2 linked regions of the Diceros bicornis minor genome follow. The protein of the gene in region 1 purifies or fractionates together with the protein of each later gene. This does not show direct contact. Links are inferred from orthologs where the notes say so. Each region holds a gene or a part of one and is shown on either strand. Other genes may lie near its edges.

What was found. The genes of interacting proteins can lie anywhere in the genome.
Region 2: the proteins of ARPC1A (region 1) and ARPC5 fractionate together in Homo sapiens (co-fractionation; 8 studies listed by BioGRID and IntAct, counting the BioPlex papers as one, with this or other methods). This does not show direct contact. The link is inferred for Diceros bicornis minor from reciprocal best matches to the Homo sapiens genes ARPC1A and ARPC5.

Annotation. Positions count from the first base shown.
Region 1 is NC_080765.1:7,346,717-7,354,505, reverse strand, and holds the start of ARPC1A (actin-related protein 2/3 complex subunit 1A), read left to right. Parts: upstream 1-4,787; 5' UTR 4,788-4,877; intron 4,878-7,789. UniProt on the Homo sapiens protein: Probably functions as a component of the Arp2/3 complex which is involved in regulation of actin polymerization and together with an activating nucleation-promoting factor (NPF) mediates the formation of branched actin networks.
Region 2 is NC_080743.1:83,822,321-83,830,029, forward strand, and holds the start of ARPC5 (actin-related protein 2/3 complex subunit 5), read left to right. Parts: upstream 1-4,695; 5' UTR 4,696-4,892; coding exon 4,893-5,035; intron 5,036-7,606; coding exon 7,607-7,679; intron 7,680-7,709. UniProt on the Homo sapiens protein: Component of the Arp2/3 complex, a multiprotein complex that mediates actin polymerization upon stimulation by nucleation-promoting factor (NPF).

The sequences.
Region 1 (7,789 bases):
GATGTTAGCTCAGAGCCAGTCTTCCTCAGCAAAAAGAGGAGGATTAGCAGGGATGTTAGCTCAGGGGCTGATCTTTCTCACAAAAAAAAAAAAAAAAAAAGGAACATTTCATAATGATAAAACATTCAATTTCTCAGAAGACAAATTCTATAACATAGAAACACCTATAATATGGCCTCAAAATATGTTTTAGGGCCAGCCCTGGTGGCACAGCACTTAAGGTTGGCATGCTCCCCTTCGGTGGCCCAGGTTCAGTTCCCAGGCATGGACCTACACCACTCATCTGTCAGTGGCCATGCTGTGGCGGCAGTTCACATACAAAAAGAGCAAGAAGAGGAAGATTGGCAGCGGATGTTAGCTCAAGGCTAATCTTCCTCAGCAAAAAAAATATATATATATATATATAGTTTTAAAAAATGACAGAATTACAGTAGACACAAACAAATCCACAATCATTTGGGAGACATTAACACACCTTTCTTAGTAAATGAAAGAATAAGTAAGCAAAAAAAAATCAGTAATGAAGCTAGAAATTATGCAATTAAGGTAGAAATCATTAACAAAAATATAACTTAAAACTCTCATGTTTAGAAATTGAGAAAAGCCAATTCTATACAAACTCTTCCAGAAAACTGAAGAAAAAGAAATACTTCTGAACCCATTTTATGAGGCCACAATTACTCTGATACCAAAACTAGAAATTACAAGAAAAGTAAACTACAAAACAATATCCTTCATAAGCAAAGATTTTTTTTTTTTTTGTGAGGAAGATCAGCCCTGAGCTAATATCCATGCTAATCCTCCTCTTTTTGCTGAGGAAGATCGGCTCTGAGCTAACATCTATTGCCAATCCTCTTCCTTTTTTCCCCCCAAAGCCCCAGTAGATAGTTGTGTCATAGTTGCACATCCTTCTAGTTGCTGTATGTGGGACGTGGCCTCAGCATGGCCAGAGAAGCGGTGCGTCGGGGCGGGCCTGGGATCCGAACCCAGGCCGCCAGTAGCGGAGCACGCGCACTTAACCGCTAAGCCACAGGGCCAGCCCACAAAGATTTTAAATTGTTAAATTCTTAACAAAATTTTAGCAACTAAATATAGTAAGTATAAAAAGAATAATACATCAGGACCAAGGAGCACTTTTCCCAACAATGCAAGTTTAGTTTAACACTCTAAAATCAATCAATGTTAAAACTATAAAACTTCTGGAAAAAAATAGCAGAAAATCTATATAACCTTGGACTAGGCAAAGATTTCTCAGACATTACACCTAATAAATGGACTTTCTCAAAATTAAGAACTTCTGCTCTTTGAAAGACATTAAGAGAATGAACGAAGAGAAGCCACAGACTGGGAAAAAAACAACTGAGAAATAGTAAATTATGAGAATCAACTTGGTACAATATTTTCAAATAATAATTGCCACAATTTAAGTGCTTTTAATGTGCCAAGAACTGTCAAGTACTTTATATACATTGTCTATTTTAATCCTTAGAACAACCCTAAGGGGTGGGAATTATTATCCTCATTTGCCAATAAACTTAGAGAAGCTGATTGACTTGTCCCAAGGCATATAGCTGATAAGCTGCCGCGACAGAATTTGAACCCAGTTCTGTTTACTTCCAAAGTCAATGAACTCTCTTAAGCACTCCATCATACTACCTTTTTATTAAAATAATCTAAGATTGCATAACAACACGGGAAAAGTGTTAGAAACAAACTGTGGAAGAACTGGCTCTGGCCTCCAGGAGATTTACAGGCCTGTGGACTACAGATTTCACTTATCAAATTAGAAAAACAATACCTGGTATTCATAAGTATGCTTATGTGCTTGTCTTGTAAGTATAGTATTTGTGATAGAATGCTATTTATATACCATCTGGACTACCTCATGCCCCTAGATACCCCATAAACTGGTCCCATCCCTGCACTATGGAAATGAACTAGGTGAGCAACCTAGAGTGGAAAAATCCACATGCATTTTTCAGTCCCTCTGCACTGAACTGTACAAGATCTTTTCTATGGGAAACTTTCCCTCCTCGGGACGATACCCAGCAAATAGACAATATCTAAATCATAAGCATTGTTAAGTATTAACACAGAGCATGCGCTTCTGTTTTTACCCTTTTGCTTACATACAGCTTTTACAGGCATTGATTCAATAATATTTCCAACAGTCTCTGTGGTGAGTAGGTGGCAGGCACTGACCCAGGTAAGAGACAGAAATGGAGGCAGATCAGCATTAAGTGTTCACTGTTGTTTGGCTGGTGGCACAAGCAAGAAACAATCTTCTTACTCTCCAAACCCACATTCCAGATACTAAATCAAAGCTCTCTTGAGCATAAGGAAATCCTCAGACCTTGGTAAACATGTAATCTTTCCGATCTATAACTGGTGATATTCCTGATGTGTCTCAACAAGCCCCGGCTCCCATTCACAACTGGTGGTGATCTCTGTGTTCTCTGAAATCCCAGACTGTTTATTTCATTCATTCATAGTTTCATTCAACAAACACTAACTAGGACCTTCCAGGTTCCAGGGATTGTGTATTTCCTTCTATTTAAAACTATCGGTGAACTGGTTTTATCCCACTCTTAAGTTCCCTGAGGACAGAGAGATCTTACTCAACTCTTCTGTACATTGCACGAAATGCTTAAAACAATACTTTGCATTTGGTGAGTACTCAGTAAATATTTAATGACTTGAAGCTTGACCAAATTGCAATTCAATCCTACGCCAATTCCAACTGAGTCAATAAAGCAAACAAAACCATCCCATGGCATACCCCTCAGTGTCCAACCCCTCACTTCCTCCCATTTCCCATTTCTAAGTACCACCTTCCCTGCAACTATTTTTTTTTTTTTTTTTTTTTTTTTGTGAGGAGATCAGCCCTGTGCTAACATCCGCCAATCGTCCTCTTTTTTTGCTGAGGAAGACGGCCCTGGGCTAACATCTGTGCCCATCTTCCTCCACTTTATATGGGACGCCGCCACAGCATGGCTTACCAAGCAGTGCGTCGGTGCGCGCCCGGGATCCGAACCAGCGGACCCCGGGCCGCCGCAGCGGAGCGCGCGCACTTAACCGCTTGCGCCACCGGGCCGGCCCCGTCCCTGCAACTATTTTTTAAAAGGCAGAGTCCTCATTGTGGATACTGTCAGTGTCATTACACAAGTCTGAAAAACAAACACTAAAAATAACTCACTCTCCTTCTCTAATGGCTCTTATACCAGGGCATGATGGGATAATGGGAAATGCTCTGGACTAGGTACCAGGACAGAGGCTCTGGACTGCCAGTGACTTACATCAAAACTTTTATGAAATCTCAAAATCCTCTGGCCCTGTTTCCTCAGTTACAGAATAAGATGGTTTCACCTAACAAGCCCCTTTAGAAATAAAATTTTACCATCTGGAATGACTCATAAAAGATGAAATGCATCCAAGGGTAAGCTTTGTTTAGGCTAAAATACAAAATACTAACTCAAAAGGTAGAACCGGAGATTAATATTAAATGTTTTACTGTTACTTCTCCTGGACTAAGTTATTTCTTTTCTTGTCATTTATCATAAAGAGTCTGGTATTATTAATTTGTATGTGTTATTCTCATCTACCCAGATTACAAATTCCTTCAAAGAAGGAACTGCACTGTCCCTTGCAAAGAGGTGGGATCTAAATAAAACACTGTTGGTATTTTTACTCTGGGTACCAACTCTGCACACTTCCGGATTGGCTCATGTAACTTGCAGACACACGAGGAATCCCTGCTTCCACGCATGCTGTCCTTCCTTTGCCAAGGTGCTGTCTCTGAGAGGGGGTAATTAATTTAAAATGCTCTTTCTGCTCTCTCAATGTGTCCTCGATGTCCCTGGGACCAAAGACTTTGTAGCCACGGGACAAAGCAAAACCAATTACTTCCAGTGCATGCGTGCTCCCGAACAAGAGGATTAACCAGCCCCAGAGAACATAGTGAGGCTCTGACACTTGGAATTTGACACGTTCACTTCTGTGAACATCACCTTACAGCCAAGCATTGGGGTCAAACTTGTAAACCACCACAGGGAACCATACAGACACTTGGTGGGCGACCTGCTGTGGCCCCGAGGACAGGAGTGCTGCTCCAGAATTTCTGTGGGTTCAAGGGCGGCAGGTCTAGCCGCAAGTGGGGTTCAGAGCATTTCCTTGAAGGGCGACAGGTCTAGCCGCAAGTGGGGTTCAGAGCATTTCCTTGAAGCCGCATCTGCACAGGAAGCTGTCTTCACGTGTTTGGGGGGAGATGCTGAATTCTCCCAATTCCTCTGTCCTGTGGCGCTATCTTGGGAGCAGGAAACAAGTGACTGAGGAAGGGTCGCGAAAGTTCCTCGGAGAGGGCTTTGCACAGGAGACTGGCTCTGACGGGGGTGTCTCTGAAGGGGGAAACACGTAGTCGTTCGTCGGGTTCGTGTGGCGCGAAATGCGTCATATAGTAATTCTCAATTCTCAGTAATTCATTTCCCGACAAAAGCACTCGCGAAAGCGCCAAGGCTCCACACTTCGCTCCGCCAGTCTGAGGAAATTTTTCGAGGACCGGAGTAAGACGTTCACGCTGTCTCGTCACCATTCCCCAGCCGTTTTACGACACCGCTTCAGAAAGGCCACCGCGGCCGCTCACAGGCCCGACCCTGACCCGCCGCACCCGCTCGGGACCCCTGCCGCACGACCGATCAGTGCGCGTGCGCGGACCGCCCGCGCCGCCGCGCTGCGCAGGCGCCGTGGCCATTTCCGGGATCTGTCAGCCGCTCCCTCTGAGCCTCGGTCCTCCGCCCGCGCCCGCCGGAGCCTGTTCGCGTCGACTGACCAGAGTCCGCGAATTCTCCGCTCCGAGCCCGTCCGGACTGCCCCGACCCCAGGTAAGGGGCAACAGGGGCGAGCTTCTGGCTCTGCTGGCCTCCACTGCCCCGGCCTCGACCCCGCGGGGGCGGGAAGGCGGGGGTTTAGGCCGCGGGGCCCGAGGCTGAGGGGCGGGCCGGGTCTCCTTGCCCGGCCTCCCGGAGGGGCGGGGATCCGTGTTCTCCGTGGGGCCTGGCGAGCCCCTGGGATCCCCTTGAGGGATCGCTTCTCCCAAGATTTTCAAGCTCCAAGCCTCCTCCCGTGCCAGAATTAACGACTCCTGCTGCGCTTCTATTGCCCTATTTGCATCTCTATTGTGGGCATTTATCACAATCTGTAAAATTGTGGTAAATGGGATCCTCTGCCCTCTATCGAGCGTCACGAGGGACCGTTCATTCCTTTTTTTAGCGTCTAGGAGAGGTCCCTGCACACAGTCGTCGCCCGTGGAATGTTTGGCTCCTGTCTGGGGCAGCCCCCAATCCTTCAGCTGCCGGGTGGACCCTCCCGAACTCGAGAAAAACCTTCCCCCGAGTTCTTTAAGATTCCCCCGCTCCGGTGCCTCCTTCCCTTAAGTCAGAATTGCACATATTCGCTCCTCCTCGCTCCTTGTCTCTAAGGAACCTTTTATATGGCACCTTGCACATTCCAGCCCTCCCGTCCCACTGCGGCAGTTACAATCCTGGCACCACCACTTGGTTGGGTGACCCTGGGAAGATTGCTTCTCTGAATCCCTGTTTCCTCATCTGCAGTAAGAAGATTCTTAGGGCTTTTCTGAGGATCAAGTGAGTTTATTTGCATAAATTGCTTAGAAGAGTTCCTAGTCCAGAGTAGGTGCTCAATAAGTATTAGCTATTATTACTGCTTCTGGGCATTCTATGCATGTCTCTCGTCCCTTCCTCCCCTACACTCTTCTTCCAGACTTAAGGACCAGAAAAGTGTCAGATTTATTTATGTTTCTGGCCCCAACCCAATACTTACTACACTGCTTAGATCTTTGATTATAAAGCCATGTGTTCTCATACTGCAGCTTTGGAACCTGAAGGAAATGCTAACCGATTTTCACCTACCTCAACTCATTGCCTAAGTTACCTAAACTATCCTAGTTCTGCTCTCTTTTGTTAATTTTATCTAACCTCTTGTTTTCACGTAGGCCCTGGGTTTTTCAGGTATCAAAAAAACAGAGACTCTATCAGTCAGGAAGGTGTTTTTAGGCTATTTGGGAGAGGGTGTAAAGCTGCTTCCTACAACAAAGTATTCGGAGAACTTCCAAGGTTAATTCATTTACTTATGACGATTAAAAGAAGGGATCATCTTGGAAAATTAAAACTCCTGCTTGGAGGGAGAGTGGCAGTGTTTTGATCTAGTTGACTAACCTGTGCTGAAACAAATTCTGCATAAAGAAGTTTAAAATGGTCTGCTGGTGAGGCTGGTGCCTGGAATTGGAATCTGTCTCTGGACGTTGTGGAGGGTGTGGTGACCTTGTTGGAGTACCTGGTATTGCTGGGTTGGGTAGTGAGAGCAATTAGAAACTGGGTGAATCACGTCTTGAAAACTGAAATTCCCACTGTACAAATACTTTCAAGCACCAGGGCCAAGAATTTAAAGCATATGTGGATGTTTCCGTGTTTGGAGGATGCTAACTGATGTGTACTTCCAGGGATAGTTCAAAAGCCTGGGGTCAGATGAAGAAAGGGAACTAACTTCTTGAGCATCTATTTTGGGCTAGGCTTTGTGCTACATGCTTTCGCTTGTTATCTCATTTAATCCTCCTCCCTACAGCTTTCGGATGTCAGTGATATGTCCATTTTACAGATGATGAAACGAGATTTAGAGGTACTGAGTGACCTGCCTGGGGTCTCATAGGTAGTATGTGTCAAAGTCAAGATTCAAACCCACGTCCCCTTGGCTTCAGAACCCATGGCTAACCAAACATCAGAATGACTCTGTACTCAAAGTGATAGGTAAAGAAAGGAGGTGGGGGGTGGCAGTGTTCCAGGGGTCATACTGTGCTATAAATCATTATCTCTGTCAGTGCTAGACAATAAAAGGTCATCAATAGAAGATTGTTAAATTTCACGTCACTACCTTTTTGTCTGTCCTTTTTTTTCTTCTCTACCTTCATTAAGACAAAGGTTTTCAGATTCCACTTAAATATTAATCACAGCTTAGAAATTATAATTATCACCCTACGACAGAAGGCATCTTTTCTTGGTACAAAATTCAAGCTGCTATTATTCTTTTGCTTTCACTGAGTTTGATGAATACAGTCTGTGTGTACTGGGCGCCCTATAAATTTGACAAACGTGAATGTTGTCTTGGTCTACAGACTCAGAATAGCCACATGATTATAAAAGAAGTGTAAGTCTGAGTGTATGTCCAAATATAGAACTTGAATGGTATAACAAAATTAGAAATGCAATTTTAGAAGTAATTATGCCATTGTGTAAATGTTTACCTCTTTTGAAGTCTTTGCTATATTGCTTATAAAACTGAGTTGAAGAGTGAGAAAGCCTTTGTCTGCAGCACATGAAATATGTGCTTTTATTGCATGCAGATATTCACATTAAATTATTAATTTGCAGGCCAATTTTGTTTCAGTTAGCAAATGAACCTATAAAATGTGGCTTTTGAACTAAATTGCTTTTACTTAAGGAGCTATCTGTTACACAACATGTTATTTTGAGGAACTATGAGTAAAACCTGTTGTGGTAGGTAAGCATCTGATATCAGGGATAAAGAGAGAATTATGATACGGTAGCATCAGGAAGCTTATTTTTTAAAAAACAAATTAAGCAGTCTCATTTGAATTCATTTAAAGTTTTTTTTAAATTTCCAATGAGAGGCTTTTTCTTTATTTTTGAGTTGCAATTTGCATTCTAGAACACGTAAAAGTAAAAAATTAATGACCTAAGTAACTTCACTCTTAGAATAG
Region 2 (7,709 bases), on another chromosome or scaffold:
GAGAAAAAAGAAAAAAATGTTGATTATAATATTTTGCTTAAATAGTTAATAGTAGTAATGAGAAAAGTAATATGCCCATGGTCATGGAAAATATTAGAGTAATTATAAGAAAATATTTTGTGCAACTTCTTGCCAATAAATGGGCAGTCTAGAAGAAATGCAAGTCAATAACCACAGAAGATAGACAAAGATTATCAAAGATCTACCTCTAAAAATATGAGCAAACCCAGATAATTTTGCAAGCACATTCTGTAACTTTCAAAGAAAAAATAGCATGGTAATTTTCTATTATTCAAACTATTCTAGAGCATAGAAAAAAAGATGGAAATCTTCTCAATTCATCTTACAAAGCTAGACTAACCTTAGTATCAAAACCGGATAAAGATAGCACAAAGAAATAAAACTATGGACCAATCTTACTAAGAAATACAGATTCTGAAATCATGTAAACAAAATATAAGTTAATAAAATCTAGCAAGTAATTAAAATAGTAACCAAATAGAGTTTATTCTAGAAATGTGGGAAGGGTTCAGTGCAGAAAACTATATAAATATAATTCATTACATTCATAAATTAGAAGATCAAAAACTATATGATTTTTATCATTAGATCCCCAAAAAAGACATTTGATAATTTTAGCAGTCATTCCTAAAGATCATAAAGCAATAGGAAATATAAACTAGTGAAATACCAAAGATATTTCCATCAAAATAGAAACAAAGAACAGAAGCCTACTATCACTCAATTTTTCAACACTGTTTTTGAGAATCTAGCTAATGCAGTAAAATAAGGAAAATAAATAAAAATGATATAATATTAGAAAAGAAGATGTAAATTATCATTATCTCAGACATTATGATTATATATTGTGACAAGAAAGGTAACCTTAAAACAACTGTTAGCATTAATAAGAGATCCCAATAATGGGAAAGAATACAGGATAAGTAAATTTTAAAATCCATAGCTTCCCTTTATATTATCATTAGCAGGTAAAAAAACTAAGTAGAAAAAGAGTCTCACTCACAACAATGTTTAAAAAACAAGGTTTATTCTTTCATTTAGCACTAAACTTTCTTCCTGAGACAAGAGTACAGATTAAACTTGTTTTTAATCTTTGAAGTACTAACATATAAATAAATAAAGGTTTCATTGTAAAATAGTTCACCCTACCTACTCTACTTCAGGGTGTAATCATAAAGTTATATAAAGGTAAAATTAATCACAAAGAAAAAATTTGAAGTTTTGAAGGTTGGTGGTTTCAACACAGAATCACTTGATCTGGATATTAAGTAGGAGCATTAAAACCATACTATAGTCCATAGGTAACATGCTAAAAAATCTTTTTATATCGTAGTAATTATGTTGCTAGAGAACAGTGGTATTAAATCATCATTACCACAACTGAAATTTATATATTTATTTTATATTTAAAATACCTATTTGACATATTTGATTAACACTGGGTTCACTTCCACTTCAAATAATAAAAACAATAGTGCTATGCTGCAGGATTCAATGTCTTGGTTTAAGTATTTAGTGGCAAGTCTGGGGAAAAGAAGCACATAGTAGGTAGAGTATTTAGTTTAAAATATCTGAAAAGAAAGACCTATTATAGGATAGTTTTATCAAAATCCTTTCTCACCAAAAAGATCCTTCACTCTTTGCATCATCACAGAAAAGAAGAAGCTACATACTACCATGCAGCATTAACCTTGAGAAAATTCAGATTCAGTCGTACTTTAGAATTGAATGAAACCAGGTTATTTGCACAATAAATAAGACGACTTAAAACCTTATGTATCCTTTATTTCAGGGATAAGCACTCACTTGGAAAATTAAAATAGGAAGAATAATATTACCTAAATGAATTAAGTACCACGATTAACACTAAAAATTTGGAATTTGCAAGAAAGTGGAATAATGTGTATTTTCTAATTAAAAGATAATCAAGGACAGGTTTCTCCACATGCACACACACAAATTTCCCTAATGCTCTATAAAGATTTTAACTTTAGCTAATGGGGGTAAGGAGGTCATTAGTGTGTCTATTAAAAAAATACTCAATCTCTAAATATGATTCCAAAGTTAACTGTCCAGATTATTAATTTATTGGATAGAAACATGTTGAGTACCTACTATTTACTAGGTACTTATTGTGAGACAATAAAAAATACTGCAATTGCAAAAGGACATTTTTGACATTATTACATCTCAAATGTAATACGCGTTGTGTGGCTGAGAATTAACTAATTATACTTAAAGCAAAATTCTGAGCAATTGAAACAATTATGCCCTTGAGCAACTCAATGTTTTAAATTCCCCTCATTATTCCCTTAAGTTGATTTCTACCCTGAGATTCTTTCCCAGTTCTAAAAGAAGAGAATAAAGAAATTTCCTAAATAAGACCTAACACAAAAGAATAGAAATGGAAGGGAAGGGATGTATTAGCTCTTGAATCCTTGTTTCCATTTGCTCTCAATAGTGCTTCTAATGTTCAATTTTCTCTTCAAAGAAAATATCGATTAGAAGAACAAAAAGTATAATCATCTTTAGCACCTAAACAAGTATATTGCTTAGCTCTTACTAAAGTTAGCAGAAGATTGAAAGTGAGAAAAAAATATTAAGACCAATCTTTATTGTAAGTTATATAATGCCATTCACCATAGTAATGATCTGATGCTTTGCTATATGACTTTTTAAAATAAATATTACCAACAGGTAGAAAATTTTCCTTTGCTGTCTTAAGACAGCCCTTAGGGGAGTTTTTACCAGTGTGTCTACTCATAACTTGAATGTTAATTTAAAGAAATGTCACTTCTATCACCTAATGATATATCTTCTAGAAGGGTGATTTAATTGGGAAAAGAAATATGCCATATTGCTTCTTCCTCCTAAAAAAAAAGGATGGATTCCATTCCTGAGGGGTCTCTCTCTCTCTCTGTGCATACATATGTATACATATTGATATACATATAGATATACATATATACATATGTATGCAAATGTGTCCAACAAAGGTTTGGTTTTGAGATCTCTCTTCCTTTTCTTACTGATTTATTATTCTCAGGGTGACTCAAACTGTACTGCTTTTCACATTTTCTTCATTCACCAATGAATAATTGAGTATGTGAATGTATTGAGTACCTTCTACATGCTTAGCTTTATGTCAGATGAAAAGGAAGATACCAGGAAAAAAAAAAATGACAGTCTCTGCCCTCCAGCACCTTTCGATCTCTTCCAGGGGCAAGATGAGACACGATATATCATTAAGTAATTTATAAGACTAGTGCCAAAATCAATGGTACAGGTAACATGCATTTTAGATTTATGTAGAATTTTAGAGCTTCAAAACACTTTCTTGTATTTAATCCTCAGAACAATCTTATGAACTACACATTATTAGCCCCAATTTAGCAATGAGGAATCTGAGGTTTAGAATTTTAAGTGGCATGCCTCAATCAAATAGATTATGAGCGGAAGAGTCAAGACTCAAGCACAGGAAACCAAGGATTGGGATACCTAACAGGGCAACAGCTGGCCTTCTGCTAGAGGTGGAATTAAACTAGACCTGATCAGACGGTAGGAAAACGTAAAGCCATCTGAGCAGTGTCCAGCCAAATGTCCAAATTAATTTTATTCTGCAAATATTTGTACTTCAGTGTTATTCCCACAGCACAAGTACCATTTCCTTAGTTTTAGTGCCTTGACTTCCTCAAGAGCTTTGCTCTCAGAAATAGGGATGTCAAATATAATTTATAAAACTGGCCTAGCGGGATCATATATCTTAAAGGTCTTAATCACAAATATAAATCTTAAAGGTCTGATTTCTACTACTCCTTACACATTTTGTTTCCCCTCAGCGCCGGAGAGCATAACTCGACCCTACCCTTTTCTAGCATTCTTGCTCCAAACAACCACTTATTTTAAGATGTCAATGATTGACCCTATCCCAAATTCCACAGGTTCGCCCCAGTTTTGCCAGCCGACCCCAAGCCCTGCCCAGACACATCCCCCTCCCTCCCAATGGATATGATACCTAGTTCAGATTCTGCAGGTGCCTCATGATGCTTGTCACACAGCACTGACAGATAAGATATGACCTTTCGACTCCGTCCTTGGGGACCTCCCGCTGGCCCCGCAGCGTAGTTCCAACCCCAGGAAAGGGGCTCCCGGCTCGGGAACGCAGCCGCCGGCAGCGCACGGTCCGAAGCGATGTCTCTGACAACTAGAACGATGCTGGACGCTCGGGCGTGCATCACTCCGCCCCATACTCCTGCCAACTGCAGCGGACTTGGTCCGGCAACCAGTCCATCCCACCCCACAGGCAAGTCGGGGCCGACCGGCCCTTACGCAGGACCCCGATGACAGGGCGTTGGCGGCGGCGGCAGCAGCAAAAGCCAAGGCCACCCGCCCCCAGTGCCCATCGCCGCCAATCTAAGACCCCCTAGACTGGACCGCAGAGAAGCGTTTCTATGGAAACCCCCCAGGGATCACGTGACGACGCGGACGACCAATCGTCTCTTACCTCCGCTCGCGGCACCGCTTTCTGCTCGCCCTCCAGCCCCGCCCCCTCCCGCCCCCGCTTCCATTGCCCAGCCCCGCCCCTTTCCTGCGGAGACTCCGCGCTTGCGTACTGCGTCCAGCGCGCTCCCTCCCTCGCGCGGCTCCCCGGGGAGAGTGAAGGCGCCGTAGGAGACTGGAAGAGAGCGCGAGCCTGAGGAGGAAGGAGCGCGGCGTGCGCGCAGGCCCAGAACCGCCGAGCCTTGGCTGCCGGCAACGCCCCAGAGCGGAAGAGGGAAGTGGAGGCGTCAGGCTGTGGGTTCCTAGCAGGGTGGGCTTGCTGAAGTAGAGGCAGCGCCGAGAGGAGGCCTTTGCCACCGGTCCGGATCGCGATGTCGAAGAACACGGTGTCGTCGGCCCGGTTCCGGAAGGTGGACGTGGATGAGTACGACGAGAACAAGTTCGTGGACGAGGAAGACGGGGGCGATGGGCAGGCCGGGCCCGACGAGGGCGAGGTGGACTCCTGCCTGCGGCAATATCCTTGCGTTCCCGCCTCCCCACCCTTCCCGGCCCTTCTCCCGGGACCCCGCCGCCTGCAGGGGGTGAGGAGGACGGGCGCTTCCCGGGGGCCCGCCGCTTGAACCTGTCTCTTTGGGGTCCCCCATTCCAGGAGGGCAGGGGGCTCTCCCATTTCTAACCGAGTAGCCCCGAGACCCCAGGGTCCAGCCCTCGGAAAGGTGCCCTTGCCCGCGCGCCTTCCACGCCGCGATTCCTCAGGTTGCGCCCGGAGTTCCTGCCTCCCGGGAGCTGGCTCCGCCGGCCGCGCCCGCGAGCGCTGGGGCGGGCATCTGTGCTGGTCAGTGCGCTGTTGCAGGGCGCCTGAGTTTTCCGCCCCAGAACGGTGTTTACTGGGGTCACATTCGCTCCAGAAATTTCTGATTGGGAAGAACGGACGTCTTTCCTTAGGATTTTGTTTTTGTTGTAGTTTTGTTTTGGTAGCGTTAGGATAGTTCATTTATTGCCGGGGGACATGGGTTCGGTTTGCAAAATTGAGGCCGTCTGTCCTTCCGGCCCGTGGGCTCTATTTTTTTTTTTTTTTTTTAAAGAGAAAGGGATTTGGTAAAATACGGGTTGCACAGTATTTGTTAACGGGAGATCAGGAGTGAGTACAAAACAACCAAAACTCCCGTGAAGTAAGCTTGGAGCCTTTACCTGCTAAGCAAAGGACAATAGAAGACGGGGAATGCGTGTGAAGAATCCTTGGAAATATTTAAAATAAAGCCCAATGAATAAAATAGAAGATGAGTCATTTGTACAGAGCAGAATCATTTTTGTAATCCTGAAGTGGTTTCCATTTTAGTTAAAATGTGGCTGTCAGTTCCTGGTTTTTGTTTTTGCATATTTGCATATTCATAAGTTTGAGTGATCATTTGCATCAGATCTTTTTTAGAAAAATGTAAATGTGGCAATAACCAAAGCTGTAGTTTTAGAGATCTTCAATTACTGAATTCACTCATTTCTAATTATTCTTGGGTGTATTCATAAGATAAGGAAGGCTTTTTAGAGTCTTTGCTCATCAATGGGGAAGTATATGAGTGGAAATAACTTGGTAGCAACTATATCTGGTCTTAAAGGCACCTAAAATACAGCACTAAATATGTCAACATACAGATGTTCTTTTGATTGCCACAACTTTCACAATCAGCTGTTGCTGTTTTGCATCATTTAAGCAGTTAAGTGTTTTGGGTCTTAAAAGTGAGCCAGTCTACAAAAGGCATGCGTCTCTAGAAGTTCATTAAGCCTTGAAAAGAGCGACTTACCACCAACCATAGGTTTTTTTGTGAGACCTTTTTCTTCAGAACATATGTGATAAACATTATTCTGTCTAAAAACATTCTTTGATGGATAAATGATGTTTTGTGAAGCTAACTTAGGTGATATGTGATGACTTTTAGATAGTACTGCTGTGTCGGTATAGTGGATCTGCTTTTTAAACAGTTCATCTTAAAATATAAAGATATTGTCTCTTCTACTCTTGTTACAAGAAGAGACAAACCCTGGTCAGGCACTACAGATGGAGGAACAAATGAACTCTGTGTGGTTTTCCTTTTAGGGAAATGACTGTACATTCTGACAGTCTGATTGGCCTTCTGTGTCTCATACTTGCTAGCTCACTGGTGCTTTCAAAGAGAGACTAAATTTAATAAGTATGGCCTGAGACAGTTTGAATAACCTTTATGAAATATGAGAGAAAATATCCAAAACAGAAAAATCAAGTTGCCATCTAAGGGCCATTGAATGATTATATCTTCCACAATATTGATAGGTTGCTAATATATATTATTCAGATTGCTAGAGTAATCTACCGGCATTTCAATTCATATAGAATATAGTTCTAGTAAAAGTTTTGCCTTTATTTTTCTAGGTAGAATCACATAAAAAGACATTTTGGTTAAGGATAGGCTGTTTCATTTTGGGGCCTAATAATTCTGATAGATGTTTTAGAGTTTTTTAAATATCACTCTAGATAATGTTTGCATATGTGTCTTACTAGAAAATGAAAGGTTGGGGCAGACCCCGTGGCGTAGCGGTTAAGTGCATGCGCTCTGCTACTGGCAGCCCGGGTTCGGATCCTGGGCGCGCATCCACGCACCGCTTTGTCAAGCCGTGCTCTGGTGGTGTCCCATATAAAGTGGAGGAAGATGGGCACAGATGTTAGCCCAGGGCCAGTCTTCCTCAGCAAAAAATAAAAGAGGAGGATGGGCATGAATGTTAGCTCAGGGCTGATCTTCCTCAAAAAAAATTAAAATAAAACTCATTATATAAATAAAAAAAAGAAAATGAAAGGTTATCAAGGTGTTCATCTAATAGAACCACGAATGAAACGGTCTTTGCTTTATTAAAAAACTCTAATGTTCTCTTTCTGTTTTCAGTATTTTGAGTGACATCCTTGAAACCAACATGTTGAATTTTCCAATATTGAACATAGTGACCATAGGAATTTTTCTTTCTGTGCGTAAAGTCAAGTCTTAAGAACCAGTGGTTCCTGGTAGTTATGATGCTTTCCTGAGGCCTGACCTTTGCTGCTATCCTTAACCTCCATCACAGGAAACATGACGGCTGCCCTACAGGCAGCTCTGAAAAACCCCCCTATCAACACCAAGAGTCAGGCGGTGAAGGTGAGTCACGGACAGCACAGTGATCTCTGC